4 linked regions of the Macaca mulatta genome follow. The main gene of each other region encodes a partner of the protein of the gene in region 4 in a complex. Links are inferred from orthologs where the notes say so. Each region holds a gene or a part of one and is shown on either strand. Other genes may lie near its edges.

The links.
Region 1: the proteins of RAB8A (region 4) and RILPL2 are in contact, whole or in part, in a crystal structure (PDB 6SQ2), measured with the Homo sapiens proteins. The link is inferred for Macaca mulatta from reciprocal best matches to the Homo sapiens genes RAB8A and RILPL2. Residues at the interface, in NP_005361.2 of Homo sapiens: Ile41, Gly42, Ile43, Asp44, Phe45, Lys46, Ile47, Lys58, Trp62, Phe70, Ile73, Tyr77; in NP_659495.1 of Homo sapiens: Leu135, Leu138, Arg139, Leu142, Gln143, Arg145, Asn146, Lys149, Ser150, Leu153, Glu157.
Region 2: the proteins of RAB8A (region 4) and RAB3IP are in contact, whole or in part, in a crystal structure (PDB 4LHX), measured with the Homo sapiens proteins. The link is inferred for Macaca mulatta from reciprocal best matches to the Homo sapiens genes RAB8A and RAB3IP. Residues at the interface, in NP_005361.2 of Homo sapiens: Lys10, Phe33, Ser35, Thr36, Phe37, Ile43, Asp44, Phe45, Lys46, Ile47, Trp62, Ile73, Ala76, Tyr77, Arg79, Gly80; in NP_783322.1 of Homo sapiens: Ser199, Arg202, Asp203, Gly206, Leu209, Glu210, Thr213, Ala214, Phe217, Glu218, Ala220, His221, Val224, Asn228.
Region 3: the proteins of RAB8A (region 4) and RAB3IL1 are in contact, whole or in part, in a crystal structure (PDB 4LI0), measured with the Homo sapiens proteins. The link is inferred for Macaca mulatta from reciprocal best matches to the Homo sapiens genes RAB8A and RAB3IL1. Residues at the interface, in NP_005361.2 of Homo sapiens: Lys10, Phe33, Ser35, Phe37, Ile43, Asp44, Phe45, Lys46, Ile47, Gln60, Trp62, Thr72, Ile73, Thr75, Ala76, Tyr77, Arg79; in NP_037533.2 of Homo sapiens: Arg104, Glu108, Leu111, Glu112, Thr115, Ala116, Phe119, Glu120, Ala122, His123, Arg127.

What each region holds. Positions count from the first base shown.
Region 1 is NC_133416.1:130,849,243-130,854,759, forward strand, and holds the start of RILPL2 (RILP-like protein 2), read right to left. Parts: upstream 3,657-5,517; 5' UTR 3,587-3,656; coding exon 3,233-3,586; intron 1-3,232. UniProt on the Homo sapiens protein: Involved in cell shape and neuronal morphogenesis, positively regulating the establishment and maintenance of dendritic spines. Plays a role in cellular protein transport, including protein transport away from primary cilia.
Region 2 is NC_133416.1:76,867,079-76,872,446, reverse strand, and holds the start of RAB3IP (rab-3A-interacting protein), read right to left. Parts: upstream 3,657-5,368; 5' UTR 2,891-3,656; coding exon 2,853-2,890; intron 1-2,852. UniProt on the Homo sapiens protein: Guanine nucleotide exchange factor (GEF) which may activate RAB8A and RAB8B. Promotes the exchange of GDP to GTP, converting inactive GDP-bound Rab proteins into their active GTP-bound form.
Region 3 is NC_133419.1:12,068,782-12,074,156, reverse strand, and holds the start of RAB3IL1 (guanine nucleotide exchange factor for Rab-3A), read right to left. Parts: upstream 3,657-5,375; 5' UTR 3,486-3,656; coding exon 3,334-3,485; intron 560-3,333; exon of another isoform or gene 345-559; coding exon of another isoform or gene 334-344; intron 1-333. UniProt on the Homo sapiens protein: Guanine nucleotide exchange factor (GEF) which may activate RAB3A, a GTPase that regulates synaptic vesicle exocytosis. Promotes the exchange of GDP to GTP, converting inactive GDP-bound Rab proteins into their active GTP-bound form.
Region 4 is NC_133424.1:16,584,817-16,590,204, reverse strand, and holds the start of RAB8A (ras-related protein Rab-8A), read right to left. Parts: upstream 3,363-5,388; 5' UTR 3,350-3,362; coding exon 3,226-3,349; intron 2,876-3,225; exon of another isoform or gene 2,284-2,875; intron 1-2,283. UniProt on the Homo sapiens protein: The small GTPases Rab are key regulators of intracellular membrane trafficking, from the formation of transport vesicles to their fusion with membranes.

The DNA.
Region 1 (5,517 bases), on a different chromosome or scaffold from region 4:
AACTCTGACCTCAGGTGACCTATGCCCACTTCGGCCTCCCAAAGTGCTGGGATTACAGGCATGAGCCACCGCACCCAGCTTTACTACAATTTAAAAAACCAAAAAGAGGTCAGGAATAGTGGCCCACTCCTGTAATCCCAGAACTTTGGGAGGCTAGGGTGGGTGGATCGTTTGAGCCCAGGAGTTTGAGACCAGCCTGGACAACATGGGAAAACCTCATCTCTAGAAAAAATACAAAAATTAGGTGGCCATAGTGGCGTACGCTTATGGTCTCAGCTACTAGGGAGGCTGAGGTGGGAGACCTGAGCCCAGGGAGGCTGAAGCTGCAGTGAGCAGTGTTCAAACCACTGCATGCCAGCCTGGGTGACAAAGTGAGACCCTGTCTCAAAACATACAAAGGAAAAAACAAGGCATATTTTTGTGCACTATCTAGTGGCACTAAACATTCATTTTCTTGATTCACGCATTTTTCCCTACCCCAGTTCTTAAGGCTGCAGTTTGGGAAGAAAATATGCCATCTCATCTGCCGCCTGATGAAACTTGTCCACTTTGCCCCATATGGGAAAGTACCCAGCCCCTGTGCACACCACACTATTCTTAGCTCATAATGAGACTTCCTCCATATTCTTGTGCCCGGAGATGGAGGCAAAAATAACACAGAATGTGGCTGAGCAATCCTGTGCAAGTCACTCAACTTTCCTTGACTCTCAAAAGCCAGGCTACAAGTCATCACACTTAACCATGTCACTTGACAGATACTAAAGTAGAATATTATCTAGAAATACAATTGTCACCATCACTTAGGAATAGGTGAAATAAACTACCGGGGTCAGAGAAGGTATGAGGCAAATAATAATAATTAATAATAAGAAGAAAAAAAAGTTACCAGGGAAGCTACTGGGAAACTTCACACTTCCCTGTGAATTTCAGTGACTCGTTCCTGTTCTTTCCAGGCTTACTTCTTGGTTTGTATACTTTTTTTTTTTTTTTAAGACAAAATCGTCTTGCTCTGTTGCCAGGCTGGAATGCAGTGGCATGATCTCAGCTCAATGCAACCTCCCCCTCCCAGGTTCAAGCAATTCTCTTGCCTCAGCCTCCCGAGTAGCTGGGAATATGGGCGCGTGCCACCATGCCCAGCTAATTTTTGTATTTTTAGTAGACGCGGAGTATGTTGGCCAGGATGGTCTCGATCTCTTGACCTCCTGATCTGCCTGCCTCGGCCTCCCAAAGTGATGGGATTACAGGCGTGAGCCATCGCGCCCAGCCTTGGTTTGTATACTTGGTTTTTGTTTGTTTGTTTGTTTGTTTGTTTTTGAGACAGTCTTGCTCTGTCGCCCTGGATGGAGTCCAGTGGCACGATCTCGGCTCACTGCAACCTCCACCTCCTGGGTTCAAGTGATTCTCGTGCCTCAGCCTCTGAGCAGCTGGGATTACAGGCGTGCGCCACCAGGTCCAGCTAATTTTGTATTTTTAGTAGAGGCAGGGTTTCACCATGTTGCTCAGGCTGGTCCCGAACTCCTGGCCTCAAGTGATCTGCCTGCCTCGGCCCCCCAAAGTGCTGGGATTACAGGTGTGAGCCACTGCGCCTGGCCCGGTTTGTATACTTGTGTCCTGGTTCTAGGACTGTGTGTCTGGCCTCTCCCACTAGATGTGAGCTTCTTGAGGGCAGGCACCTTGTCTACTTTATCTCCATAGCCCCAGAGCCTAGCATCAGTCACTGCAGTCACTCATCAAATGTTAGTACAACAAGTAAGGCCAAATGTCTGCATTTTAGGATGGAGTATTTAGGACTAGCATCTCTGAATGAAGATCCTGGCTTCACCTCTTACTTGCCGTTAAGTCCTCAGGCAAATTACTTAATTGTTCTGTGCCTCATTTTTGTAAAACAGTAATAGTGTGAGGATTAAAAAAGACATCGTCCACTTACAGCAGCTTTTTTTTTTTTTTTTTTAACTGTGGCTGGAGACCTGCTAGTAGGTCATAACATGAATGAGTTTCGACAAGAATTTTAAAAACCTAGGCCGGGTACGGTGGCTCACGCCTGTAATCCCAGCACTTTGGAAGGCTGAGGTGGGTGGGTCACTTGAGGCCAGGAGTTTGAGGTCAGCCTGGCCAAAATGGCGAAACCCCATCTCTACTAAAAAAGAAAAGAAAAAAAAAATTAGCCAGGCATGGTGGCAAGCGCCTGTAATCCCAGCTGCTCAGGAGGCTGAGGCAGGAGAATCGCTTGAACCCAGGAGGTGGAGGTTGCAGTGAGTCGAGGTCACGTGACTGCACTACTACACCTGGGCAACAGAGCAAGACTCTGACTCGAAAAAAAAAAAAATCTACAGTAGTTTCTCTTTTGTGCCTGGCTTCTTTCTCTCAATGTAACATCTGTGAGATTCATTCACACTGCTATGTGTATCAGCACCCTGTTCTTTTTCTGTTGCACAGTATTCCATATATCACAATTTCAAAACTGAAACTGGGTTGCATTTAGATTGTTTCCAGTTCAGCAGTTGAGACTAAAGCTGCTCGGAATCTTCTTGTCTATGTCTTTTTGTGGTCATATGCACTAATTTCTCTTTAGGTAAAATGTGTTTCTTGCCCAAGTGTGGTGGCTCACATCCACAATCCCAGCACTTTGGGAGGCCAAGGCGGGAGGATTCCCTGAGCTCAGGAGTTTGAGACCAGCCTGGGTAACGGTGAGACCCCCATCTCTACAAAACATCAAAACAGTTAGCTAGGCATGGTGGCACATGCCTGTACTCCCAGCTACTCGCAAGGCTGAGGCAGGAGAATTGCTTGAGCCTAGGAGGCCAAGGCTATAAGTGAGCCATGTTTGCACCACTGTACTCTAGCCTGGGCAATAGAGCAAGACCCTGTGTCAAAAAAAAAAAAATTGTGTTTGTTGCTCTAGGTCAAAGGTTCTCAAACTGGACCCGGGGCCACCAGCATCAGCATTAACTGGGAACTCGTTAGAAATACAGATTCTGGCCCCGCAGGGTGGCTCCCACCTGTAAACCCAGTACTCTAGGAGGCTGAGGCTGGAGGATCACTTGAAGCCAGGAGTTTGAGACCAGCCTGGGCAACACAGCGAGATCCCATCTCTTTAAAAAAAAAAAGGAAAAGAAAAGAAAGGAAAGGCAAAGAAAAGAAAAAAGAAAAGAAAAGAAAAGAAAAGAGAAGGTGTCTTCCTGCTAGTAGGCGCCCTCCTACGCCCCGCAGGCGCTCTGGGCCCAACACTCACCTCCCCGCTGGTCGGAGGGTCCTGTCTCCGCAGCCCCTCCACCTCCTTCCTGAGGTTGTCCCTCTCCATCTTCAGCTCCTCCAGCGCCAGGCTGCCCTCATTCACCAGCGCCTCCAGCATCTCCAGGACGCGGACGACTTTGAACTGCAGCTGCGTCACCCGGGGGTCGCTGCCCAGGGCCATAAGTTCGCGGCCCAACAGGTAGGAGATGTCATACACGTCCTCGGTGGTCAGCTGGAAGGGGCTCTTGCCCAGCGCCCCTTCGGGCCCAGCCTCGTCCCTCTCCTCGTCCTCAGTCTCGTCCCTCTCATCGTCCTCTTCCTCTTCCTCTTCTCGCACAGGGGGCTCCTCCATGGCCACCCAGACCCCCGCCGACCCCGGAGCTGCTCTCTTGGAGTCTCCCAAAGGTTGAACTTCCTCCCGGCACCCAAAACTTTCCGCTGGGCAGAGTCCCTACCTGCCCAATCAGCGCGGCCCGGGGGTGGGCCCGGGGGGGGCGGGGGGGAAGGGGAAAAAGGGGCCGCGCACGCGACTCTAGGGCCGCCCCTGGCGCACCGTCCCTGCTGCAGGCCGCGCGGGCGAGTGCGCTCCAGGTTGTGGTTTGGGGCGCGAAGGGACAACAGAAAAGGAGGGCGTCCGAGAAGAGGAAAGTTCAGGGGTGAGGGCAATCCCCCCAGCCTGGGAACAGTTGCAGCCCGGGGGAGGAGCCGCCCTGAGCCCCGCCCCTGGCGACCGCTGCCGGGAGGCGCGTTCCCGTGGAGACCGAGTTTCCACCGCGCAATCGAGAGCAGAGCAAAAAGAAAGCAACTTTTTCCTTTCTACTCTCGTGCTTTCCAGCCGTAGAATTTGCATCGTACGTGATGGAAGATTCGGGTCTCTCTTTGAGGGAGTTTTCTGGAACCTGCGGCCAAACAGAAAGCAGCTGTTGTGGGCAGCGCGACAGAGTCCCCAAGGCTTGAGGATCTGGAAAACTCCCAGCAAATTATCATTAGGGCCTGGGGCATCTGACTTCTGTGACTCTCAATAAAATGGGGAATTCCTACCCTGCTCACTTCGCTGGGTCCTCGGCTCCTCCACGTAACCGGCGCTGCCACCTTGGCAAGTTACTTAACGTCTCCAAGCCTCAGTCTCCTCTTCTGTAAAATGGGGACAATAGCGGGACCCAGGTGGCAGGGTTGCTGCGAGGAACATGAACTTATGAGATAATGTGTGTGACACCTCACACACTTAGGAAGCACTTTACAGATGTGATTGTGATCCTTCATTCTTTCTTCCACAGAGCTGGGGAGGAATTGCTGGTGTTGGAGACACCTTGCTACTTGGGTGAGAGAAGCAGGCGTAATTAACAAGAGAGAAACCCCTGTCTGAAAATCACAAAGCATTTGACACATATGCAGAATCCATATTACTGAGAATATTAGCAGTGTGGCTTAGAAACTTGAGTTATTTGCTGTGGCTCATGCCTTAATCTCTACACTTTAGGAGGCTGAGGCAGGAGGATTGCTTGAGCCCAGGAATTCGAGACTAGCCTGGGCATCATAGTGAGACCCTATCTCTACAAAAAGTAAACAAAATTAGGTGGACACGGTGGTTCATGCCTGTAGTGGCAGGTACTCGGGAGGCTGAGGTGGGAGGATCGCTTGAGCCCAGGATGTTGAGGCTCCAGCGAGCCAAGATCGCACCACAGAGTGGTGCCTGTGACGGAGTAAGACCATGGTGACAGAGTGAGACCATGTTTCAAAACAAAAGCACAACAAATCTCAAGTTATTTTAGGTTCCATTGGAGGTTTGTGATAGTCTCAGGCAGAAAGCTCAGCAACAGGGCTTATCTTTCCTAGGAATGTATTGGCAGCTTTCCTTGTGATGGGTGTGTCCATTTTCTCCACACTGAGGTACTAGAATCTCAATGGAGAATGTACACGGATTAAACCAACCAACTAAAGCAAAGCAAATTAACAAAACATACTATTTTCAGAGGGCCGTTTTTATTTTCCTTATTTATTTATTTTTAGTTTTATTTATTTATTTTTTTTGAGACGGAGTCTTGCTCTGTTGCCCAGGCTGGAGTGCAGTGGCACAATCTCGGCTCACTGCAACCTCCACCTCCCAGGTTCAAGCAATTCTCCTACCTCAGCCTCCCGAGTAGCTGGGACTACTGCGCCAGTTATAGTCCCAGCACATGCCACCACGCCTGGCTAATTTTTTGTATTTTAGTAGAGATGGGGTTTCACCGTGTTGCCCAGGCTGGTTGTGAACTCTTGAGCTCAGGCAATCCTCCCACCTGG
Region 2 (5,368 bases), on a different chromosome or scaffold from region 4:
ATAAAATTTTTTATAAGAGTACTACCTGGTACAATTAAGGATAGCAGTACAAAAAAAGGACAAACTAGCTAGAAAGCAGTTTACAAAAGCTCAGATATTTTGTTTTTAGGATATTAAATGCATAGTAACCAATTTACTATGCTTTGTTGAATTGCATCTTAATCAGAATTATATTGGACAAAAGTTTAGTTTGAAAAAGTGTACTCCCTTGGAATATCTTCAAAGCTTTCCCTCATTACCTCAATGCACAAATATCTCTACCCACTACCCATCTGTTCTTCCTCTCCACTACTCAACTATCCTAGCACTTCGTCTTAGTTGACATTCATTAAAATATGTAACGTGTGTTCTACATTTTGAAGAACTTATAAAAGATATGGGAATGATTATAAGGCCCCACCTCCCATATTCCTTAAGAATTGTTTCCTTTAACCCCTACTGTGACTTGCAGAGTAGATGCTCAATTGAGTATATGATTTAAAAAAATCTCTGGTGACACATAAGAATTACATATTACATTAATATTACATATCTCATAAAAGCTAAATTACGAACAGTTCTTCAGCATTATAAGCTACACACAAAGAAGTGATAATGCAGTGATTATAAGCAAATAATTCTTCAGCATTACCACTTATACAGAGTGCAGTGGTTAACAGCACAGACATGGAAGACAAACTGACATCTAATCCAGACCTGTCACTTAATTAATTATATGACTTTGAGCAAACTACATAAGGTCTCAGCGTCTCAATTTTCTCAACTACAAAATAGGGATAAAGTATTATCTCCTAGCTCACTGTGAGAGTAAGTGAGTTAGTATAAAGCTTGTACCAGGACTTGGCTTGATAAGCACTAGACTTAAAAGTAACTGTAGTAGCAAGGCTGGTATCACCGTCATTAGAAAACCTGGGTATTTTTAAACCAGAAATACAAATGGTAACACTTGTCACTCTGTGTGCCTCCTTATAGTTACAAAGTTCTTTAATAGAAAGTGCAGACTGGGAATGTAAGGAATAAAAGCACTAAGTTCCTTTTTGGGCAGTTGGATACAGTTTTTAATACCGGCTCTGTCACTGGCCAGCTGTACGACCACCTACAACTAAGTAACTACAGACAAATTACCGCAACTTTCTAAGCCTCCATTTCCTGATTTGTAAAATTTGACAAGTCACCTATATCCCAGGAATGTCCAGAGGACTGAGGAGTCAAGGTATGGAAAACAAGCACGCACAGTGCCTTGCACACAAGCAAGCTCACATTGGTTCCTTCTCCCCTTCCCCACATCTCTAATGGAGTATCTTATTAAATCCTCATCTCACCACTATGAAGTTCATATTAGGTTGAAACATAAAAAACAGCAGAATATTAGCAATTTCAACCTAATAGTATTTCCACTGACAAATGGAGAAAATAAGCTCAAATAGGTTAAATGTTTTACTCAAGGTTTTATGCACAGTAAGTGATGGAACTGAACATTAAATAATTTTTCATTCAGCCAGCTCACTAATTTGTTCACTGACTCCTGCTGAGGGGGAAAAAAATATACTAACTACTATAATGCATATAAAACTACTATAATCTACAAAGTATTTTTTCCTGCCATGTTTAAAAAATGAGGGGGTGAAACAGATTTCTAAGAACATTTCCATTTTAAAAAGTATTTGCAGAGGATGTGTGTGTTGGGGGAGGATCAAAGGTAAAGAATATTAGGTCGGGCGCGGTGGCTCAAGCCTGTAATCCCAGCACTTTGGGAGGCCGAGACGTGCGGATCACGAGGTCAGGAGATCGAGACCATCCTGGCTAACACAATGAAACCCCGTCTCTACTAAAAATACAAAAACTTAGCCGGGCGAGGTGGCGGGCGCCTGTAGTCCCAGCTACTCGGGAGGCTGAGGCAGGAGAATGGCGTGAACTCGGGAGGCGGAGTTTGCAGTGAGCTCAGATCCGGCCACTGCACTCCAGCCTGGGTGACAGAGCGAGACTCCGTCTCAAAAAAAAAAAAAAAAAAAAAAAAAAAAAAGAATATTAAAGGAAGCATATGGATAATTACACTAATTCAAAAAGTACAATAGGATCTAGTCAGAAAACCCACAAAGCAGCTAAACATTAAATGGCCATCCTGGTGAAAGGTTACAAGTATTCAATACCACAGATGAGTTGTCTGCCAAATACGGAAGGAAGATTTATATTAAACACTTTGGTTCACAAAGGTATACATCAATATATAACATTACTGCAATGGAAAAAAATGAAAGGCTTTTCCTTCAATAGTTAAAAAATGGACTACTTAACTGTATAACTGTTTATTTCTATAAATTCCACAAGGGCTTTAGCATTAGATCACATAAGCCATATCTGGAATACAATGTCCAAACACGAAAAGTCCTATCAAAATGCACAGTACTAGTAAATAAATAACAAATGGTAATAGTACAAGGCCCCATAAAACTGGTGAAATATTTAACAGTATCAAATATTTACTACGATTGGTCTACAAACCTATTCTGCCTCTTTTCTCCTTGATTTGTCATTCACCACTGGGGGGAAAAAAAAAAAAACCTTCATGAACAACAAAATGAGAAAAAGGATAATGAACAAGAACTGGGTCTTTCAATTGATTTACAAAGGAACAGTTTTGTTGTAATCCTCTTACGGGCCCCTCCTCCAATTATGCAATCATTCCACTGCAAGAGATTACAAGGCTTTTAACCCGACACTGAAAGGAAGGAGTTGGGGTGAAACATGAGAGTGTATAACAGGTAGCCTCCGAACAGGCAACATTTCCATGAAACTAAATTGCCTCTCAGTAATCAGTACTAACTCAGCGCTCTTGTCTTTCAAGACCTTACCCTTTAGCCATTGTAGATATATCTTTTTTTAATCCCATAACAACCGGCAACTCTTTACATGCTGCGGCTTCCACCCAGCATCAATTCTGGAGCGAGGAAGCTCGCGCTTCCCCGGGCGGTCGGGGCGAGTTTTCAACGCTGGGAGGGCAAAGCCGTGCAATCCCATCCGTGCAGCTCGTCTCAACTCCCCCGAACACAAGTCTGGCTGCAAGGAGCTGCCTCTTCGGACGCGACTCCGGGCGCCTGCCCGGAATTTCCCACCAGGTTTCACCGAAACCTCCCGAGGGTGACCTCTACGCCTCAGCACGGTGCCTCTAGCGTCGTTTCCTAAGACTGGGGCACGAAACCACCCCAGGTCCACAGCTATTGCCCCGTCCACAGCCCTGCCGCGCGGCGCCCGGTGTTGTGAGCGGCTACCGACTTGTTCGGGAACTCCGTCTTCATCCCCCTCGCGACCCCGGCCCTCCGCTCCCGGCCGCTCCCGGCCGCTCCCGGCCGCCGCCAGGTAACCCGCCGGGCTCCGGCTCCCTGCCCCGGGCGCGCGGGACCGCGCAGTTAATGTGTAACGCGCCCGTGCCCGGGGGAGGAGCCGCCGCCCGGCGCCCACCAGCAGCCCAGGGGGCGGCCGGCTGACCCGGGGCGCCGAGGTCCCCCCACACGCCGCCCCCAAGAGCCCGGAGCCCAACTGCCCAGGCGGAGAGCGCGCTCACCGGGCCGGGGCATCCCGCCGAACCCCCGCGCGCCGCGCCCTCCACGGCGCCGGCACCTGCACCTGCCGCGGCCGCCCCTCCTGGCCGACTCGCCGGAGGCGGGTGCGCGGGCGCCGAGGGGGGCGGTGCTCCACGCTCCGGGCCTCTCCCTCCCGCGGCCACACTCACCTGACGAACCCACCGCGGCCGCTGCCGGCGCTCACGGGCGCTCACAGAGCCGCAGAGAGCGCGCCCCGAAGCAGCGAGAGGCGGAGGAGGACGGCGAGCCCTTGCCGCTACACTCCACGGTGGCGGGCTCACTACGCCGGCAGCCGCCGAGGGAACGCGGGACTGCGCCTGCGCCGGAAGCGGGGCCGGGGCCCGGGGCCGGGAGCCGGGAGCTGGGAGCGGCCGGTCCTCACGGAGGGTGGGCGGGGCGGGGGGGTGTGGCCGGCAGGGGCGGGGCGGGCCCGGCGTGGGGCCTGGGGGCGGACGCGCTTCCGCGCCCCCTGGCGCCAGGCGGGGCTCGTCGCAGCTGTCACGGGCCTGGCCCCAGGTTCCTCCGCGGGCGGTTTCCCTGGGAACAAGGGCGAGCCCGAGCTGCGCTGTTTCCCGGGGCCCGAGAGGCCACCTCAGGTTGACTTCAGGCATGTTGGGCTCTCCAGAAGGGAGAAGAGGCACCTTCGCCGTGAGTTGAGGACTCCTAGAACCAACCTGAGACTCCGCGGCCATATACATCTTACGACGTGTGTGTGTGTGTGTTTGTGTGGCGGGGGATGGGAGGGGAGGAATCCTGTAGAACCCAGATCCCATCATTCCAGCAACTGCCAGAGCGTTCGAGAATGTCACGCCTGTACCTGTCTTCTCTCATCTTTTGTGCCAACTGTTTTATCAAACTTCCACCCCACTTTAAGTCTTCCAGGTAGGAAAAATACAGAAAGAGCCAAGATCCCAAAAATCGGAAAAAATAAAGAGGCATTCATAGTATGTGTCTCTATGTTTAGCAAAAGAGAAACGTGCAATTTATGTGATACACATATTGAATAGAACCATCATTCTGGGTATTAATCTCATCTATTAGAGGCAGTAAAGAAAAGTAGACTATGTGTATGGCTGTTGGAGTCAGAATTACTGGGTTTGAGCCTGCCACCTGCTAGCTGAGTGACCTTAGGCAAATGAATCTCTAGCCCCAGTTTTCTCATCAGTGAATGAGTATACAAGAACCTGCCTCGCTAAGTCATTGAGAGTTTAAATGACTTAATTCATGTAAACACTTTGCATACTTCATGACACAGGGTGCCTGATGAATATTAGCTATTGTTATTATACCATTATAACTATTATCATGCATCTGTAATCCAGAAACCTAGAAAGTCAGTTTTTCTTATTTTATACCCCGTCACCAATATATCACCAAGTCTTATTCATCCTAATTTCTAAATAATTCTTAAATATATCTTACCTGATATTCATTGCCATTAGAAATGACCTTTCTTATTAACGGACTCCTAACTGTTCTCCCTTACACCACGTAGCTGGTCATTCATTCATCAAACATTTTATTGCACTCCATCTGTGTGCTTCCTGTTAGACATAGGGACAGAGAAACCATTACAAAGTCCCCACCATTCACGGACTCAAACATATATAGGGAGACAAGTATGTCAGTAATAGCTACGTGAAATGAATAAATTAAATATACAGCAAACCACTTGGGCTCCCCAGTCTTGCTGTACTCACAACCCTGTATTTCCATATGCTGTTTCTTTTTATGTCTTGATCTCCTACCTTTTCCTTGCCTTGCTAGTTGTTTGTTATTCATTATTT
Region 3 (5,375 bases), on a different chromosome or scaffold from region 4:
TCTCCTCTAGGTGCATGCCCCAGAGTCGTGCACACTCTTCCCCATACCCCGACTCTTCTCACTTGCGCTCCTGATGATCTAGGAGGAGTTGACGCTGTCACCCCGGGACGGTCGGCTGCCCACCCTTCGCATCCTGCACCCCGAGAGAGACTCCCGACCCCTCCCCCGGAGTCTCCCGGCCGCAAGTCGGCTCGCCTGCAGGCAGGGCGGGGGCGCACAGCACCTCTGGGTGGCGGCGCAGATCCGGCGGGGACCCCCCCCCCCAATCATTCTGTCCCGGGAGGCAGCCGCGGCCCAGACCCGGCGCGGGACCGCGAGCGCGCGCGGACCTACCCGCTCCACATCCCGGCGCCTCGGGGCGCCCGGGCGTTTGTTCCCAGCGCCGCCGCCGCGTCCTCCCCGCGCCGCGTCCCCGCTCGCCGCCGACTCCTCCCGGGGCCGAGCCGCCCCACCGCCTGTCAGCCCAGCCCGCGGCCGGTCAGTAGGTCTCAGCTGCCTGGGCTCGCGGCCCCCAGCCCAGCCCCGACCCTGCCCTGGGCGGGTCACGTGGCGGAGGGGGGCGGCCCGAGGACACGTGCCCGGCCCCGCCCCTCGCCGGCCGGGCGCTGGGATCGGGCGCGCGCTCCCAGGGCCCGGCCCCACCCGGCCCGCCGCGCCGGGACAAGGAGACCGCGGCGCGGGGAAGGAACCCGGCCCCCAACATCCCGCGGCCCGCGCCGCGCTCAGACTCCCTAGCTGACTCGTCCTCTCCAATCGCCCTCTGCACCACCCACTTTGGGCCACCCCTGCTCAAGAACCTACAATGGCTCCCGGGCTCTCAGCTCTTGGATTCTCACACAGATTGTCACTTAAGGCCAGCAGACACCCTCCCCCATCCTCACCGGCACTCCTTCCCTAGTCTATCTACTTAGTGCCTGTCCCTGTGCAACATCCTGCCTGCTGGGAAGGGGAGGGGACAAACCCGAAACAAGTTTTCTGAGTCCTACTCTCTGAGTTTTACCCCGAAGGAGTTTCCACTTCTGGTTCAACTCTCCTCACCCAGCCTCCTGCCTCTTAACACACTGTACCCATCCCTGCCTTTATCCACCATCTGCCCTCTGGATAGTATTCCCCACCCCACCCCCACCAACACACACACATACGCACACCTGTCTGGTTCCTCATCCTCCGTGAAACCTTTCCCTGAATCCCAGACCACTGGTCTACCTGTCCCTCAGTTCCTCTGTCCCACCCATTCTGAGTCCTGATCATTGTTCTCAACTTCAGCCTGGGACTGGACCAGTAAGAGCAGAACCCCTCTTCTCTCCCACCAGGAACCATGGCTCCCACCTTCCCTGTCTGGGGGAGGACTGGGAGCTTGGGGGGAGGTACTTGCCCTTCTAGGTGCTACCAGAGGTCCTAGTGCTGAACCCCTCCAGGCCCACTGACTCAGGCCCCAGGCTCAAGTTAGTCAGATCTTCATTTGAGGACACATTTTATTCATTCATTCAACTCATTCATACATTCAGCCACTCCATCTGAGCATAGTCTATGGGCCATGCAAGGGCTGGTGACCCAGAAGGAAACTGTGCAGACATAGGCTCTGCCCTCCTGGGGCTCCATGATGGAGGATGGAGGATGAGGGAGGTATTCTCTAAGACCTCCATGTCCAGAGTACAAATAGACAACAGTGCTCTTTCCCCACTGGGCATAGTGCACAACAAGGTAGGGAATCTGGAGAGTGGAGGCGAGGCTGGATTCTATGCCTTGCTTGCTCCCTTGGCCAGCATTTTGTGCAGTGAACAACCTTGGCAGTTCTCCATAGCATCCCTTCCAACTTTCTAGAATCATTCAGCCCAGGCGTCCCATAGCCATCACGCAGCAGGGCAGTTGTTTCCATGGCCATGGCTTCCAGAGGGCAGGGATTCTCTCTTTCTTGGAGCTGTGTTCCCTCACCCCGCCCCCAGCCCAGCTCAGGGTCTGGCCCACCCAAAGCAGATGTCCACATGTGTTTGCTGGCTTGAATCCCTCATCAGTAGGTCTTGAGCAACTGTTGTCTTCCTGGCCTTGTTTTGTTCACTATTTAGAGAAGGAGGAGAAAATGACACAAAAGGAACCCAGCACAGGGCCCTTGCCCTCAAGTCTTCACAAGCACCGGGAGGAGATAAGTCATGGCAACCCAGACCAGTGGGAGATAAAGTGGGTGGAGGAGGCGTCAGCTCAGGGCTATGTCCCTGGAGGAAGAGTACTCAGCCTGGGACAGCTGGTGGACTGGGGAGGCCCTTGAGCGAGGTCTCGAAGGACAAGTGTGTGGTCACCACTCAGAAAGCATCGACACTCAATTTCTAACCAAAAATAGCCTGTCATCCATGCTTCCTGCTACCATGGACTCCTAGGCCTCACTGCCTCCCCCAGTAGGGAGGACCCTACTGCTCAGCTGAACTTGCTCCTCAGCCAAAAAGGATGGGCTCAGAGAAGTTAAGGAACTTGCCAGATATCACACAGCCAGGGGCAGTGGGGCTGAGTCCTCTTACACCAGTTTTCCAAAAAGACCATCCAGAAACTAGAAGCTCACTGGCAGCTGCAGCTGTGTGCAGCCAGGCAGCAAGAGGTTCCTGAGCACAGGCTATGGGTTCCTGGCCAGTGGCAGGGAAGGGAGAAATAAAAGTTGTGTCTGGGCCAGGCGCGGTGGCTCACGTCTGTAATCCCAGCACTTTGGGAGGCCAGGACAGGCGGATCACCTGAGGTCGGGAGTTTGAGACCAGCCTAACCAACATGAAGAAACCCTGTCTCTATTAAAAAATACAAAATTAGCTGGGCGTGGTGGTGCATGCCTGTAATCCCAGCTGCTCAGGAGGCTGAGGCAGGAGAATCGCTTGAACCCGGGAGGCAGAGGTTGCTGTAAGCCGAGATCGCACCATTGCACTCCAGCCTGGGCAACAAGAGCGAAACTCCATCTCAAAAAAAAAAAAAAAAAAAAAGTTGTGTCCTCTGCCCACAAGCCACTGCCCTCCTGACCCTCCCTCCCTCTATCCCCCTCTGCCTGCTACATCCCAAGCCTGACAGCCTTGACCACAGACCCTTGGCTGAAGGCAGCTGAGGAGTAGGAGACAGTCAGCCTGGATGACCCAGGCCCTGATTCTGGACTTACAGGTCTGACCTCAGCTCACTGTGTGACCCAGGACGAGTGTCTTGCCCTATCTGAGCTTCAGTCTCCACCTCTCTACAGCCACCAAATTGGACAAGATAGTCAGAGCCATTCCCTAGGACTCTCTGAGCCCAGCTTCTCACACCGGCTGCCCTGAAGCTCGCCAAGATTCCCCCTCCCCTCCATGCCGCAGGTCCTGAGCTCACCTTTCTGTGCCCCAGGGCTCTTCTCTCAAGCTCCCCTCAAGTGCAGGGCACAGGCCTAATGGGGCGTAGCGGACAGTCCCTGCACTCATGGCCAGGAACACGGGGCATGTCCCTCGGGCGGGGCACCTGGCGTGCTCCTCAGAAGAGTCCATGCTTGGAAGGCCAGACTGAGGGTCCCTCTGGAGGGTGCTGGGAAGGGAGGTAGCAGGAGCCTTCTTCCCCCCACTAGGCTGGGCCTCACACTAACCTTTGCTATCTCCTCAGAGCAGCAGCCTGGGAGGGAGGCACCACCTCCCAGGACAGCCGCTATCTCCTTCAACCCCGTAATTATTAACTCCTGTGGCTCCTCAGGCAGCAGAAGACACTGGGCCCTCCTTCCTGGGCTCTGGGCCAGGGGAGATGAGACACCTCAAGAGGAGGCCCCGTGTTTCAGCCAGGCTCCCAGATGGTCTACTTGTCCCCTCGCCACACAGGCTGGGGCGTTGGAAACTGCCTGTCCAGCCTTGACCCTGTCATAGCTGTCGTAAGCTGGCTGTGGAGCCCTGACAGGCCCTCCCGACTGTGACCACAAGCCTGAATATCCACTTAAAACTTTGTTATTGGCCGGGCACGGAGACTCACGCCTGTAATCCCAGCACTTTGGGAGGCCGAGGCGGGCAGATCACCTGAAGTCAGCAGTTCAAGACCAGCCTGACCAACATGGTGAAACCCCGTCTCTACTAAAAATACAAAATTAGCCAGGCATGGTGGCGCATGCCTGTCATCCCAGCTACTCGGGAGCCTGAGGCAGGAGAATTGCTTGAACCTGGGAGGCGGAGGTTGCGGTGAGCCGAGATCGTGCTATTGCATTCCAGCCTAGGCAACAAGAGCGAAACTCCATCTCAAAAAACAAAACAAACAAACAAACAAAAAACTGTTATTATTATTATTTTTTAATTCTTTTTCTTAGATTTGAGATTCCTAGTTTTGTCTTTTTTTTTTTTTTTTTTTTTTTTTTTTAATTTTTTAAGGCAGGGTCTCACTCTGTCACCCAGGCTGGAAGGCAGCCTCAAACTCCCCGGCTCAAGCCATCCTCCCACCTCAGCCTCCTGAGCAGCTGCGACTCCAGGCATGTGTCACCATGCTTGGCTAATTCTTAAATTTTTTTTTTTGCTTGGAGAGACGGGGTCTCGCTACCCTTAAAACTTTTCACCGCCACCACCCAGGAACAACTCAGTGGTAGCAGCTGGGAGCACAGGCCCAGGGTCAGACAGGCTGGATTCAACCCCACTTTCAGACGGTGTGCCTTTGAGCACGTTAGCCTCTTTGTGCCTCAGTTTCTCCAACTATGAAATGGATTCTCACCCTCCAAAGCACACCAGGTCAGTTGCCACTGCCCAGATGTGCCCATTCCTCTTCTTTCCACATACTATCCCACCTGTCTGCAATCTCCACTGCATCCTGCCTCTGCTGGTAAGTTTCTCTTTTGTTCATACCCCCTCCTCTAGGAAGCCCTCCCCTGTGGGTTACTTTTTTCCTCTGCAGACACCAGAGCCCTCAGACACATGGTTAGCCCTGCACATGACAAACACCCCACGGAACTGGTGCACACTCCCGCAAGAACTGAGTGGCCCTCTGCGCAGAGGCTGGGCCATCCTCGTCACCCTTCTCAGTGTCCCCTTGCCTGGTACACAGACCCCATCCATCTGTGGGATGGTGTGAATGTGCCACCCTGTCTTCATTTGGCCCGAATTCTCATCCTAGTTCTGCCACTCGCTGGCTGTGTGGCCTCAGGCAAGTCACTTAACCTCTCTGGGACTCAGTTTCCTCATCTATATAAAATGGGAACAGTTCTCCCCTGTGAAGTAGTGAGTATTAAAGCAGATAACATTTGTGGCCAGGTGCAGTGGCTCACGCCTGTAATGCCAGCACTCTGGGAGGCCGAGGTGGGAGGATCGCTTGAGCCCAGGAGTTTGAGACCAGCCTAGGCAACAAACTGAGACCTCATCTCTATTATTAAAAACAAACAAACAAACAAAAACCCGTCTCTACTAAAAACACAA
Region 4 (5,388 bases):
TAAACTTTATGAGGCCTAAGAATTATGAGGCCTGAACTTCAAGGTCATGGTGAATTAGAAATTCCTAGAAGAGGCCGGGCGCGGTGGCTCAAGCCTGTAATCCCAGCACTTTGGGAGGCCGAGACGGGCAGATCACGAGGTCAGGAGATCGAGACCATCCTGGCTAACACAGTGAAACCCCGTCTCTACTAAAAAATACAAAAAACTAGCCGGGCGAGGTGGCGGGCACCTGTAGTCCCAACTACTTGGGAGGCTGAGGCAGGAGAATGGCGTGAACCCGGGAGGCGGAGCTTGCAGTGAGCTGAGATCCGGCCACTGCACTCCAGCCTGGGCGGCAGAGACTCCGTCTCAAAAAAAAAAAAAAAAAAAAAGAAATTCCTAGAAGACAGAAGGCTACAAATGGAAGGAGGGGAATGAAGGGGTGAGAGGGAGGGATCCTGGGGTCAGGTGCCACCTTCACCTTGCTAGGTAACTTTCACCAAGTCACATCTTCATCTGCAAATGGAAGACAGCCTCTTTAAAGCTCAAAGTAACTCTAAAGAGGGGGGGTCTGGGCTGGGCGCAGTGGCTCATGCTTGTAATGCCAGCACTTTGGGAGGCCAAGGTGGGCGGATCATGAGGTCAGGAGTTCGAGACCAGCCTGGCCAACGTGGTGAAACCCTGTCTCTACTAAAAAAAAAAAAAAAAAAAAAAATACAAAAATTAGCTGGGCATGGTGGTGGGCACTTGTAATCCCAGGTACTCAGGAGGCTGAAACAGGAGAATTGCTGGAACCTGAGAGGCGGAGGTTGTAGCGAGCCGAGATTATGCCACTGCACTCCAGACTGGGTGACAGAGCGAGACTCCATCTCAAAAAAAAAAGAGGGGGGGTTTGTGGGGAAGGTGCTGAGGCCGGGAAACTGGGATCTGAGTGAAGGCAAGCCACAGTCTGCCCACAGTTAACATAATTTCTTTCTTTCTTTCTTTTAAGATAGGGTCTCGCTCTGTTGCCCAGGCTGGAGTGCAGTGGCGCCATCACAGCTCACTGCACCTTGACCTCCTGGGCTCAATCAATCCTCCCATCTCGGCCTCCCAAGTGGCTGGGTCTATACGGGTAAGCCAGTATGCCCGGCTAATTTTATTTTATTTTTTATAGAGATGGGGTTTTGCTATGTTGCCCAGGCTGAATTAACGCCACTTCTTGATCGGCTGGGGCACAAGAGTTACCCTAAAGTTTGGCCTTGGAGTTGGGGAGGGGGAAGAATTCAGAACCATCTGTCTTCAGAGGCTGGATGCTGTCACTGCAGGAGCCATTCATTCATTTGCTTCTTCGAGATGGCCTCTGGTTACGGTGATAACCCCTTATTGTCTAATTCTAATCCTCAACCACCAGGGCACTAGCCCAGGAGACAGCGTCACTCCTGCTCTAAAGACAGCAGGGCTCAGAGAGGGGCAGTGTATGTTCAAGGGCAAACAGCAATTGGAAACCAGACGTAACGATTTCCAGTCAGTTCTCTCTACTTTACATCAGGCATATAACTGTTTTATAAAGCACAGCTATCCTGGGTGCAGTGGCTTATGCTTGTAATCCCAGCACTTCGGGAGGCCAAGGTAGGTGGATCACAAGGTCATGAGTTTGAGACCAGCCTGACCAACATAGTGAAACTCATATTTACTAAAAATACAAAAATTAGCTGGACGTGGTGGCGGGTGCCTATAGTCCCAGCTACTAGAGAGGCTGAGGCAGGAGAATTGCTTGAACCCGAGAGGCGGAGGTTGCAGTGACCCGAGATAGCACCACTGGATTCCAGCCTGGGCAAAACAGCTAGACTCCATCTCAAAAAATAAAATAAAATAAAATAGAATAAAATAAAATAAAATAAAAAAAGCACAGCTCCTGGAGGGGGGCAAGAATGGAATCAGCACATTATCGTGGGGTTCAGGGAGAAAACATGATTCTGTTGAAGTGACACAGTAAAGCAAAGGCCATTCCCTACGTTTTCGTGACTTGGAATAAACTCCTTAGTGACCGTTCCCCCATTTTCCCCATCCCTAGCAGGGCTACAGAGCTCCCAGGCCACTCAGACTGGTGTTACTCCCCGGTCTAACCTTTTCATTGTGGGCCAGGACTGCTTTTGTGGCACTGAGAGAGGTCAGTTCCACTTCTGCAGACGGCACAACTGAGATGCACCAAGCCAATTCTGTTCAACCACAATGTGGGCTGGCCCTACGGGAAAAGCTGTTCTAAAGTGACAACCGGAGTCTTGGGCCCTTTGATAGGGAAGTCAAGGCTGTCTGTGGCAGTGGCTGATTTAGTTGCTCGCTGAGGCTTTTATCTTGCATCTTCTTGCAGATGACAGGTTCCAGGGCAGGCAGTGCTGTCACTTGTCATTACTGTCATCCTGGAGCAGGATGAAATGTGGGCAGGGAAAAGGTCCTGACTCCTCTTATCATTCCTTCTAGAGGAAAATACACTTATGAGGGGAAGAATGGTCAGGGAGAGGGGTTCAACTTCTGAATACTCCAGAGAAAAGAGCAGGAATGGTGTGGGTTACAGTTCCGGCTCCAAGGTGCATTAGCTGAGCTTGTCATCAGCTGGGAGTGTGAGGTGGCATCTCTCTAGGATAGCTAAGCCTCGAGTTTTGGGTTGAGACACAGCCAGGTTCAAATTCCATCAAATCCCATTCTCACCACCTGCAGACTGTGTGGCCTTGGGCAAGTTCCAGGCCCACCCTGAGCCTCAAATTCCTCATCTGTGAGACGGGCTCAAAACAGCACTTAACACCGAGAACTGGAGAGTGTGAAAATGCACGGGAAGCACTTGGCACATAGTAAATGCTCATTAAGGTGAGATGTCACCGTCTTTTTCCCATGGCCAATTCCCCATGACTCAGTTTCCACTTCTGTAAGGCAGGAGCCTCAAAAGAACCGCTTTGAGGGCTGCTGCTAGGACAGATCGAGAGGACGGGCGCGAAGACCCCAGCCCAGGACATAACACTCCCTAACGAGCGGGCTGAGGGTCGGAGCCTCAGTCTCCCCATCTGCAAAATGGGCACCTGGTCTCCCCCACCACGGCCCAGGAACCTCCGAACGGCGGTACAGGCGACTGCTCTTCTCCCCTTAGGCCCCCTCGACCCTCTCAGCGCCCTCGGCCAGTCCAGCCCGGTAGATCCCTCAGCCCCAGCCCCTCAGGGGCGCGCCCAGCCCGGGCCTCTGGCGCCCCCAGCCACTCCCCGGTCCCGCTACCTATGGTGGAGATAAAAGTGGAGTTGAAGGCGTCCTCGGAGAAGCGGAACAGGACACAGGTCTTCCCCACCCCCGAGTCCCCGATCAGCAGCAGCTTGAACAGGTAATCGTAGGTCTTCGCCATATTACACTCTCTCCCCGACGGGAAGTGCGGCCAGCGCCTCTCCACTGGCCACCAGCACCGTCCATCAGCGCCGAGCCCGCCCCTTATTGGCTCCAGGCCCGCTGCGCGTCACCGCGGCCGACGCCCGCCCCTGCGTCCCGCCAGTCGCGGGGAGACCTGGGGAGGGGGCGAATGGAGCGCGGAGCCGGAAGCAGCCCGAGCGCACCTCCCATTGGCCGGCACTAGGGAGAGGACGGGCTCTGATTGACCAGCAGTGAAGAGTCGTGGGGCTTCAAATGGGGACGAGGCGGGGGCGTGGCATTATGTGGCCCCCGCCTTCCACCCCCTACTCGGGCGCCCCGGCCCCGCCCCACTACAGGAGAGGGAAGGCAGGGAGCGTCGCCAACGGCTCGCGCGCCGGCAGCCTGGGGGGCGGGGCTTGGGGTGCGTGCGCACGAGCGCCCGGAGTTCCGTTAGGCGACGGCAGAGGGCGCAATCCTGTACTTGGGGCGGGTATCTCTGGGTCCCGCCGTCACAACTCGCGCAGGCGCAATAGGCCCCGAGGCGAGCGCGGGAAACCATGGTAGCGCTCTCAACCTGATCTGCGGCCTCCGAGTCGGGGCAGCGGGGGCCGACGGAGGAAGGAGAGAGGAGACACTGTATACTCGAAAAGTGACCCGGGCCGGGCGCGGTGGCTGAAATCCCAGAACTTTGGGAGGCCTAGGCGCGTGGATCACGAGGTCAGGAGTTCAAGACCAGCCTGGCCAAGATGGTGAAACCCCATTTCTACTAAAAATACAAAAATTAGCCGGGCGTGGTGGCGGGCGCCTGTAATCCCAGCTACTTGGGAGGCTGAGGCAGAGAATTGCTTGAATCTGGGAGGCGGAGGTTGCAGTGAGCCGAGATCGCGCCTTTGCACTCAAGCCTGGGCGACAGAGCAAGACTCCATCTCAAAAATAAATAAATAAATAAAAGTGACCCAAGACGAGTTCCGAGGTCTGCGGCCTAGCGACCTGCTTACAGATACCCAAGGCCTCCGCCACCTGAGCGGCTTCACCGCCACAAGCTATGCCCCGAAGCGCGCGCCGGCCTCCTCAGGGTCCGCCCTCGGCCGCTTTAGGAGTTGTCCGGGCCAGCCCGGGGGGTTTAGAACAGTGAGGATGCTTTAGAACAGTGAGGATGCTTGTTCCTATCTAGGGGCCAGGACTCTCAACACTGAAAAAACAGGCCGGGGCTGTGGCTGCCACCTGTGATCCCAGTGCTTTGGGAGGCCAGGAGTTTGAGGCTGCAGTAAGCGGTGATCGTCCCACTGCACTCCAGCATGGACGACAGAGCGAGAAGCCTCTCAAAAAAAGAAAAAGGCCGGGCGCGGTGGCTCACGCCTGTAATCTCAGCACTTTGGGAGGCCGAGGCGGTCGGATCACGAGGTCAGGAGATCGAGACCATCCTGGCTAACGCGGTGAAATCCCATCTCTACTAAAAATACAAAAAAGTAGCCGGGTGTAGTGGCGGGTACCTGTAGTCCCAGCTACTCGGAAGGCTGAGGCAGGAGAATGGCGTGAACCCGGGAGGCGGAGCTTTCAGTGAGCCAAGATCGTGCCACTGCACTCCAGCCTGGGCAACAGAACAAAACTCCGTCTCAAAAAAAATAAAAAAGAAAAAGAAAAGAAAAAGAGGAGAGATACATTAGGAAAATCGGGCTTGCAGCTGGGTGTGGTTGCTCAGGCCTGTAATCCCAGCACTTTGGGAGGCTGAGGCAGGAGGATTGTTTGAGCTCAGGAGGTCGAGACCAGCCTGGACAATATAGGGAGACCCCCATCTCTACAACAAATAAAATTAGCTGGGCGTGGTTAGCACGCTTGTAATCCCAGCACTTTGGGAGGCTGAGGTGGAGGTTCACTGGAGGCCAGGAGGTGGAGACCAGCCTGGGCTAAACATAGCAAGACCCCCATCTCTGCAAAAAAAAAAAAAAAGTTTTTTGGCCAGTCGAGGGGGTTCACACCTGTAATCCCAGCACTTTGGGAGGCCAAGGTGGGCAGATCACTTGAGGTCAGGAGTTC